Saccharomyces cerevisiae S288C: one gene and its partners. The protein of the gene in region 1 interacts with the protein of each later gene in a biochemical or structural test. Each region holds a gene or a part of one and is shown in the gene's direction. Other genes may lie near its edges.

Region 1 (2,772 bases):
GCTTTGTTGTGGGCGCTCCGGTCTCTTAGATAAAGAGACGGACGATAGCCTGTCTAACAATGGTAGTCGAGGTTGTGAATTAGAGGAAAAACCTAAGCCAGACCCATAGTTCAATGGATTTGTAAAACTAATCTGAGATAAGCTTGCCTTGTTGAATTCTGGTGAATTGCCTGGTGTTAATGAGGAAATTGGATTGTAATCCATATGATGTGGCGATGCTGGTGCAGTATTTGATTTTTTTCCAAGTATTTCGTTAGCCAAAGATATTGGGGAAAGAATTGGCGACACATTGAGCGAATGAAACGAATACTTCCTAGGACTTGCTGAATTTATATTGTTATCGGTTGTGATATTGTTCCTGCTGATATTACTGGATAAATTGGAAAATGAAGGCAATAAAAGATTGTCATAATAGGAGCTATTTGCATGAGAATCCGGACCAGCAGATAATGCATGCAGTGGTGTTTTGATGTATAAGCTTGACATTTTTTTGCTTTTCCCGTTATGAGAAATGTTTTTTTTAGACTGAAAATAAAAGAATGGATAGTATTAAAATAGTAATGAACGTAATAAGGATAGGACAGGAGCGATAGGAAAAGATAGAATTTTGGAGCTTTTTTTCCCTCTTTTTTTGAGCAGGAGCCAATAGTAGTCGGAAAGATGAGTGTATAGATTTTTCGTATTTTATTTCGAGTAAAAATATCACGCTCTTAGGTTCAATAAAAGAATATACTATTTCTTCAAAATGCTTCTCTAATCTATTTTTTTATTTTCCTTAATAACTGAAATATTATTTTTTGATGTAAAATGAGTGAACAAGAATAAAGGATTTTTGGTATGTTTGCAAGTTCTGTGGAGTTCCATGTATAAGGTATACATATTAGAAAAGCTTTACGATTATATACTAACATCATGTACAAAACAGTTTAATAATGATCTGTATTGCTGGCTCAATCCACGTAAGGAAAATGATCAGCCCAATCCTCAAAAATAAAATGGCCCTTCCAAAATTAGAGACATATCGTAGAAATCAGACGCACGCTTGGCGTCAATATCCTAAAACGGAAAACTAATCAGTTAGATGTGTCTTTTTTAGGTAAAAAAAGGCAACCAACTTTTTGCTGGCTAGCGATGCGACAATAAACGCGCGCAGCGAATAAAAATAAGATGGCGGAGGAGCAGAGACTTCTTTTCTTAGAAGAGGTTTTGTTACCGTATGGGGGTATGATGGTTAGATGGCTGAATAAAAACGTTAATTAAAGGAATACAGAAGAGGAAGCGCCCCGATTTCTTTTCTGTTCCACATGAAAGCAGCCGGTTGGGTGGTAGATCTCTAATGACATCCAAACTACAAAACCGAGATTGGACATATAGCACACTCTGCATTTCTACTTTCCTTTCTCCCTACAGTTTGCTCGATCTGAACCGATGCTTCTTTGATTGGACAAGATGATAGACCATGACTCCCTGTATGTATTGCAGAGATTGCCACTACTAACCAAGAAAAGTTGAACGTGTCGTACGTATAAAACGATTTATGCTTAGGCTTTACTGAAAAAAAAAAAGTAAAAAGAGGATGCGCAAACGCATAGAGCAAGTAACTAACCTGTTTTTATAGTATATACTTGGCCCCACCAGGCTGATCGTCAGGCAAAACGCCAAACTAATAACAGTAATAACAGAAATATGAACACCAATAGTAATACTATGGTAATGAATGACGCAAATCAAGCACAAATAACGGCCACATTTACGAAGAAGATATTAGCGCATTTGGATGATCCGGACTCCAACAAATTGGCCCAATTCGTACAGCTTTTTAATCCAAACAACTGCAGAATAATATTTAATGCTACCCCCTTCGCGCAAGCAACAGTTTTTCTGCAAATGTGGCAAAACCAGGTCGTACAAACACAACATGCCCTAACAGGAGTAGACTATCACGCTATTCCGGGATCCGGCACGTTGATATGCAACGTCAATTGCAAAGTCAGATTCGACGAAAGCGGCAGAGACAAGATGGGGCAAGACGCGACTGTTCCCATTCAACCAAATAACACTGGGAACAGAAATCGACCCAACGATATGAACAAGCCAAGACCTCTATGGGGTCCATATTTTGGCATTTCCCTGCAGCTGATCATCGACGACCGCATATTTAGAAATGATTTTAATGGTGTAATATCGGGGTTTAACTATAACATGGTTTACAAACCCGAGGATTCTCTGCTAAAAATTTAGTGGGAAGATTCCGCTCTACCAGGGAAAAACAAAATTATATAGAAAAGAAGGTAAGTAATAAGTAATACGAAAAAACCCAAAAAAAAAATTCAAATACCCCAACCCTGTGCCCTTTCTATTTTTATGGTTGAAAAGGTTACAGAGGATCCTCTGGAGCGGTGACAACAGTTGACGCAATCATGGTCCCTGGCGGTCCCTAAGGATATCTCGGAGGAACCGAGGCACGGAAACGGCTGCACGGGTACGCCAGATAAGGATAATTCAGCCGTCACGCATGAACAGAAGGATGAGCATTTGCTCACCTTCCTGGACTTAACTTGCGTGAATGAAAAGAAGAACACCAATGTTAGAGTAGGGCTTCGCACCAAACTTTAATCAAGAAATCTGAGGAGAAATGATTCTAAGTCTAGCCACGAAAACTGCAAAGCGCACCAAAAGTAAGAAACGACAAAGTTTTTCTAGCATTTTTTTGTTTCATCAAGAGAAGAAACACGATTTATATAACTGTTACCGCTAAAACCTACATCTAAA
Region 2 (4,195 bases), on another chromosome or scaffold:
AATAACATCTTGATGCTTTTCAACGAGATAGTGCCCATTTTATTTTGCATGTATTATACTTCCAGCACCCGGTGTGCATTATATGTAACTTTAGAAATAATCTTTTGTATATTATTCGCGATTGAATGTGCGTGCTGCATTATCAACCAAGTTTTAATATATCTGTTTCTCTTATTTATTGTTAGTTAAGTCTTCGGCAAAACGATGGAAAAAATCATGAACTGAATAGAGACAAGTAAACCAAATTATAAACAAGGTTTCCCTTCTGAAGAGATACTAAGGAAGAAGAAGAACGACCCAATAATATTTCTGAATATGCAACCATTTGATAGTGGGCATGATGATTTAGTTCATGATGTCGTTTATGACTTTTACGGAAGACATGTGGCAACATGCTCTTCTGATCAACATATTAAAGTTTTTAAATTAGACAAGGACACGAGTAATTGGGAACTCAGTGACTCATGGAGAGCTCACGACAGTAGTATCGTGGCCATTGATTGGGCCAGTCCAGAATATGGGCGCATCATTGCTTCAGCCTCTTACGATAAGACGGTAAAATTATGGGAAGAAGATCCCGACCAAGAAGAATGCTCTGGCCGTCGTTGGAACAAGCTGTGTACCCTGAATGATTCCAAAGGATCACTTTATAGTGTAAAATTTGCGCCAGCGCATTTGGGCTTAAAATTAGCTTGTTTGGGTAACGATGGAATCCTCAGACTTTATGATGCCTTAGAACCTTCTGACCTAAGGTCATGGACACTGACTTCTGAGATGAAAGTGCTATCTATACCACCAGCAAATCATTTACAGTCTGATTTTTGTCTCTCTTGGTGTCCTTCGAGATTTTCTCCTGAAAAGCTCGCAGTCTCTGCATTGGAACAAGCGATTATATACCAAAGGGGTAAAGACGGTAAACTTCACGTTGCAGCAAAACTTCCCGGTCATAAAAGTTTAATAAGAAGTATCAGCTGGGCTCCTTCCATTGGTAGATGGTATCAACTCATTGCAACAGGTTGCAAAGATGGTAGAATTAGAATTTTCAAAATCACAGAAAAACTAAGTCCCCTGGCCTCAGAGGAGTCTTTAACTAACTCAAATATGTTTGATAATAGTGCTGATGTTGACATGGATGCACAGGGCAGATCAGACTCAAATACCGAAGAGAAAGCTGAGCTACAATCAAACTTGCAAGTTGAACTTCTAAGCGAGCATGATGACCATAATGGCGAAGTTTGGTCCGTGTCTTGGAATTTAACGGGTACAATCTTAAGCAGTGCTGGGGATGATGGGAAGGTACGTTTATGGAAAGCCACTTATTCAAATGAATTTAAGTGTATGTCAGTAATTACTGCCCAACAATAAATAAGAATATATGTATACATAACATTATATATTGGTACTTTATACGTGTGCATTATTCTGTATAATACGAGGCAACAGATGAATCAAGAAAGATGATGCTTTTAAAAAGCTCTTACAAATATAATGATATTACATCAAATGATATTATTATTCTTGATATTGGGTATTCTTTCGAATTATATCAAGCTTCCCTTCCCTCGCCTTTTCGCCTGGAAATTTTTCAATGCCGAGATTAAAAAATTTGTCAATGAAAATGCATTCTACTACTTAATAAAGAGGTGATGAGCTTATAAGCCAACTTCTTTTAAACACAAAACTAAATCTGATATTGAGGACCCCCACCAACTATGCCACCAAAAGAAGCTCCCAAGAAATGGAAGGCGCCAAAAGGGCCAAAACCTACCCACCGTAAAAATAAAAATAAGCTTGAATTAGGCAGAGCTATTAAATATGCACGTCAAAAAGAAAATGCCATCGAGTATTTACCTGATGGTGAAATGAGGTTCACTACCGATAAGCATGAGGCCAACTGGGTTAAATTAAGATCTGTAACTCAAGAATCAGCTTTAGATGAATTCTTGAGTACAGCTGCACTGGCAGACAAAGATTTCACGGCCGATAGACATTCAAATGTTAAAATTATTAGAATGGATAGCGGTAATGATTCTGCGACATCTCAAGGGTTTTCTATGACTAATGAGCAGCGTGGAAATCTTAATGCGAAGCAAAGAGCGCTTGCTAAGGATTTGATTGTTCCAAGGAGGCCTGAATGGAACGAGGGCATGTCCAAGTTTCAGCTTGATAGGCAAGAAAAGGAAGCGTTTTTAGAATGGAGAAGAAAATTGGCACATTTACAAGAAAGCAATGAAGACTTGTTGTTAACACCGTTTGAAAGAAATATCGAAGTTTGGAAACAGTTATGGAGAGTTGTTGAAAGATCAGATTTAGTTGTTCAAATTGTAGATGCGAGGAATCCGTTGCTGTTTAGATCTGTCGATTTAGAAAGATATGTAAAAGAGTCAGATGACAGAAAAGCAAACTTACTGCTAGTTAATAAAGCAGATTTATTGACCAAAAAGCAACGTATCGCTTGGGCAAAGTACTTTATCTCCAAGAATATTTCGTTCACGTTTTACTCTGCATTGAGAGCTAATCAATTATTGGAGAAACAAAAGGAAATGGGGGAAGATTATAGAGAACAAGATTTCGAGGAAGCTGATAAAGAAGGGTTCGATGCTGATGAAAAAGTTATGGAAAAAGTTAAAATTCTGTCCATTGACCAACTGGAAGAATTGTTTTTATCAAAAGCTCCAAACGAGCCTTTATTGCCACCTCTGCCCGGTCAACCTCCACTGATTAATATTGGTTTGGTTGGTTATCCAAATGTAGGTAAATCCTCCACTATTAATTCGCTCGTGGGTGCCAAGAAAGTTTCTGTTTCATCCACGCCTGGTAAAACAAAACACTTCCAAACTATTAAGTTATCTGATTCTGTCATGCTTTGTGACTGTCCCGGTCTTGTCTTCCCAAACTTTGCATATAACAAGGGTGAGCTCGTGTGTAATGGTGTTTTACCTATTGATCAATTACGTGATTATATTGGTCCAGCAGGTTTAGTAGCAGAAAGAATACCAAAGTATTACATTGAAGCGATTTATGGTATCCATATTCAAACCAAATCAAGGGATGAAGGTGGGAATGGGGATATACCAACTGCTCAAGAATTGTTAGTCGCATACGCCAGAGCTCGTGGTTATATGACTCAAGGTTACGGTTCTGCTGATGAACCAAGAGCAAGTCGTTATATATTGAAAGATTACGTCAATGGGAAATTACTGTATGTCAACCCTCCGCCCCATCTAGAGGATGATACACCTTACACTAGAGAAGAGTGTGAAGAATTTAACAAAGATTTATATGTGTTCGACAGATTACCGGACACCAGAAAGGAGCAAGTGCAAAATGCTGCTAAGGCTAAAGGCATTGATATCGTGGATTTAGCTCGTGATTTGAATCAGCTAACGTTTTCAGCTCACACTGGTGGTGACACACAAAAAGAAGCCAAATCTGTTACGCACGGTGGTAAACAAGCTGCATTGTACAATGCCGCTGAGGACTTGGATAGAGACTTCTTCAAGATGAACAACGTCGAAGGTAGATTAAGTACACCATTCCACAAAGTTCAAAATAGTTCAGCTGGTAAGAGACATAACAAAAAAAACAAAAGTAAAAATGCGAAAAGCAAAGTTTTTAGCATTGAAAATAATTAGCGGTAACTAACATATATCTTCTCAAAAAAACTGTGTACTATTATCTTTTCATCTCGCCAATTAATGACAGCGTTATTTGAGAATAGACCTAAGATAATAAAACTATGTTCGTTACCCGGACAAATTTTCTTGGAAGAATTTTTGAGTCCTAGAGATATTATAAAACGGCCCTCTATTAATTTGCTCTTTCTTTCCTCAGTTTAATTCTTCTTTCGAATAAAAAATAAAAATATCATGGCTCTTCAACACATTTCAACATGTTCAAGTAATTTGTGTTAGTGGATGACCATTTAGGGGCTGCTGGCCTGGTTACCGGGAGTTTTTCTTGGATCCAAGCTAGCTTTTCCGTCTGATTATCCTTAAGCTTCACAAATTACAATTTTTCCCACGCATTAAGAAATAAGCTCAAGATGCCTAAAATAAGTTCTATCCCGCCTTTTTTCGCTAACAATGACTGAGTATTCCCACAGTCTATAGTTTGATAGTAGATGGGCGGAAATTTTTCTCATATATTTACTTTTTATAGGAGAGTATATTTACGTACGTATAGTGATTGCATG
Region 3 (3,590 bases), on another chromosome or scaffold:
GGGGACAATGATGAGGTAACGCAAAAGTGATGAGTTTCTACTGGTATCTTGTAATTGAAGGTACCCCTTTTTCTTTTAGCTATCTTTAATTAGGTTAGAAAAGTGTATATTTCGCAAAAACGTATAGGCAAAAAAAAAGTGAAATACTGCGAAGAACAAAGATGCCTATCAATGCCATCACTTCCGACCATGTCATTATCAATGGTGCAAATAAACCTGCGACTATTGTGTATTCGACCGAATCAGGCACGATTCTGGATGTTTTAGAAGGCTCCGTGGTTATGGAGAAAACTGAGATAACCAAATATGAAATACATACGCTGGAGAACGTATCTCCATGTACAATTCTGCCTGGACTTGTGGACTCTCATGTTCACTTGAACGAGCCCGGTAGGACTAGCTGGGAAGGATTCGAAACTGGAACTCAAGCTGCTATTAGTGGCGGGGTCACAACGGTGGTTGATATGCCGCTAAATGCTATTCCTCCCACAACAAATGTGGAGAATTTCCGAATTAAATTGGAAGCTGCTGAGGGCCAAATGTGGTGCGATGTTGGGTTTTGGGGTGGACTGGTACCACACAACTTGCCAGACTTAATTCCGCTTGTCAAAGCTGGCGTTCGCGGGTTCAAAGGATTCTTGCTTGATTCTGGTGTGGAAGAATTCCCTCCAATTGGCAAAGAATATATAGAAGAAGCCTTGAAGGTCTTAGCCGAGGAGGATACCATGATGATGTTTCATGCTGAGTTGCCCAAGGCACATGAGGACCAACAGCAACCCGAGCAAAGCCATCGTGAATATTCTTCGTTTTTGTCCTCGAGGCCGGATTCTTTCGAAATAGACGCCATCAATTTGATTCTCGAATGCTTGAGAGCCAGAAATGGACCAGTTCCTCCTGTACATATAGTTCATCTGGCATCAATGAAAGCAATTCCCTTGATCAGAAAGGCACGTGCGTCAGGGCTACCAGTCACAACAGAGACTTGTTTCCACTATTTGTGTATTGCTGCAGAGCAGATCCCAGACGGAGCCACCTACTTTAAATGTTGTCCACCCATCCGCTCTGAGTCTAATCGCCAAGGCCTATGGGACGCTTTGCGTGAAGGTGTTATAGGCTCAGTAGTGAGCGACCATTCGCCATGCACCCCTGAGTTGAAGAACTTGCAAAAAGGTGACTTTTTCGATTCTTGGGGAGGAATCGCTTCCGTCGGACTAGGTTTGCCATTGATGTTTACCCAAGGCTGCTCTTTGGTCGATATCGTTACATGGTGCTGTAAAAATACATCCCATCAGGTAGGACTATCTCACCAAAAAGGCACTATAGCTCCCGGGTACGATGCTGATTTGGTGGTATTTGATACTGCAAGTAAACATAAAATAAGTAATTCAAGTGTCTACTTCAAAAACAAATTGACTGCCTACAACGGGATGACGGTCAAGGGCACAGTTTTGAAAACCATATTAAGAGGCCAGGTGGTATATACGAATGCCAACGGAGTCTCGAAAACACCATTGGGTCAAACTTTGCTTGATTCTAGACGTTAAACTAAAGTTGCAAATTTTTATTAAAGAAATTCTATAGAAATAAAAGAAACAAATTTATAAAAAGTTATTTACACACATACATATATTAACCACTCTTAGTTTGAGATGACACAACTTTTAATGATCTACAATATATCCATCTGGGTCTCCACGGCTGCAATTTTGAAATTTTCTTAGCGCTAAAAAAAAGAAATCTAACTGAAAAAAAAAATTATACCTCAGCTCATCGAATGCATCTAATACAGGTATAACGCAGAGAAAGCAGTAAAAGCAGCAAGAAATTACAGGGAAGATGGCTGGAAATGCAAACTCAGTAGACGAGGAAGTTACCAGGATATTAGGAGGCATATATCTTGGCGGAATCCGTCCAATTATTGACCACAGACCATTGGGTGCAGAATTTAACATTACTCATATTCTTTCTGTTATCAAATTCCAGGTCATTCCAGAGTATCTAATAAGGAAAGGTTACACGCTAAAAAACATACCCATCGATGATGATGATGTGACTGATGTGCTGCAATACTTCGATGAAACGAACCGATTCATTGATCAATGCTTGTTCCCCAATGAAGTTGAGTATTCGCCCAGATTAGTAGATTTCAAGAAGAAACCACAACGTGGTGCTGTTTTTGCTCATTGTCAAGCAGGACTCTCGAGATCTGTAACCTTCATAGTAGCCTACCTAATGTATCGTTATGGATTGTCACTATCAATGGCTATGCACGCTGTCAAGAGGAAGAAACCGAGTGTTGAGCCAAACGAGAATTTCATGGAACAATTACATCTCTTTGAGAAAATGGGTGGAGATTTTGTCGATTTCGACAACCCAGCCTATAAGCAGTGGAAGCTGAAGCAATCTATCAAGTTAGATCCATCGGGCAGCGAATTGGTCTCCAATTCTGGAATGTTTAAAGATTCGGAGTCGTCGCAAGACTTGGATAAATTAACTGAAGCTGAGAAGAGCAAGGTCACCGCAGTGAGATGTAAGAAGTGCAGAACCAAATTGGCGTTATCTACATCTTTCATCGCGCATGACCCACCAAGTAAGGAATCATCAGAGGGACACTTCATCAAGAGGGCCGCCAACTCCCATCGTATTATTGATATTCAAGAGTCACAAGCAAATTGCTCTCATTTTTTCATCGAACCTTTAAAATGGATGCAACCTGAACTACAAGGCAAGCAAGAGTTAGAAGGGAAGTTTTCATGTCCAGGCTGTTCAAGTAAAGTTGGCGGTTACAACTGGAAAGGATCTAGGTGCAGTTGTGGTAAGTGGGTCATCCCCGCTATCCACCTGCAAACTAGTAAAGTGGATCAATTTCCCTTACAATCCACTGCTTTGCCCAACATGGTTAATTTTGAATCCGAGAAAGTAAATAGATAACTTAGATATAATCAGCAAATATAACTACCACTAAGCACTTTTGGTGCACTTGTGTATGTATACATCTTAATAGATAGATGAATTTTGGTGCTGAGGAGAGCATTTTTCTAATCTTGACCTCGTTGCTGCCTGGCTCGTCTCTCCATTAATTCATCTAAACTAGTTATCCTCTCCCTAGTCCAATTCCTCCAATTACTCGCTAGATCAGGTGTAATCCCACCATAAGAAGTCGGCTCTTGGCTGTATTCGCTATTATAATCATGCTCTCTTCCCACGTCATCTTCAAAATCCGGATTCATGTCCAGTTCTACCTTTGAATCTTCTCCGTCGTTATCACTGTCAATATCATATGGGTTTCTATCTAAATGATGAGCCTCTTCCACAAACTGTTGTAGGGAGCGTGACAGTGAAGTGGGTCTCATTAATAAGTCATCCGGCACAATTCTCTCTCTCTGAACTTCTATACCTTCCACACCTTCCCCCGGCACTTCTCCCTCCTCATTATCATCCTCATCTACAACATGATCGAACTCTGCATCATAATCGTATGATATTTCATCCTCCTCTGATACTTCCTCATTTTGCGAATTATTAGCACTGTTATTCGCAAGTATGGCCATACTGTCATTTGGCATGCTATGCAATCCTGTAACACCCTC

Evidence for each region.
Region 2: the proteins of MTR2 (region 1) and LSG1 form a complex in vitro, tested with the Saccharomyces cerevisiae proteins (one study listed by BioGRID).
Region 3: the proteins of MTR2 (region 1) and YVH1 form a complex in vitro, tested with the Saccharomyces cerevisiae proteins (one study listed by BioGRID).

Annotation. Positions count from the first base shown.
Region 1 is NC_001143.9:92,213-94,984, reverse strand, and holds MTR2 (Mtr2p), read left to right. Parts: upstream 1-1,686; coding exon 1,687-2,241; downstream 2,242-2,772. Other genes in the region: DNA-binding transcription repressor ASH1, read right to left, coding at 1-486. UniProt on the Saccharomyces cerevisiae protein: Affects mRNA transport from the nucleus to the cytoplasm.
Region 2 is NC_001139.9:312,919-317,113, forward strand, and holds LSG1 (ribosome biogenesis GTPase LSG1), read left to right. Parts: upstream 1-1,712; coding exon 1,713-3,635; downstream 3,636-4,195. Other genes in the region: SEH1 (Seh1p), read left to right, coding at 316-1,365. UniProt on the Saccharomyces cerevisiae protein: GTPase required for the nuclear export of the 60S ribosomal subunit. Acts by mediating the release of NMD3 from the 60S ribosomal subunit after export into the cytoplasm.
Region 3 is NC_001141.2:404,214-407,803, reverse strand, and holds YVH1 (tyrosine protein phosphatase YVH1), read left to right. Parts: upstream 1-1,836; coding exon 1,837-2,931; downstream 2,932-3,590. Other genes in the region: DAL1 (allantoinase), read left to right, coding at 162-1,544; MND2 (Mnd2p), read right to left, coding at 3,039-3,590. UniProt on the Saccharomyces cerevisiae protein: May be directly involved in signal transduction and/or cell cycle regulation. It is necessary for maintaining growth rate or spore germination. Could show both activity toward tyrosine-protein phosphate as well as with serine-protein phosphate.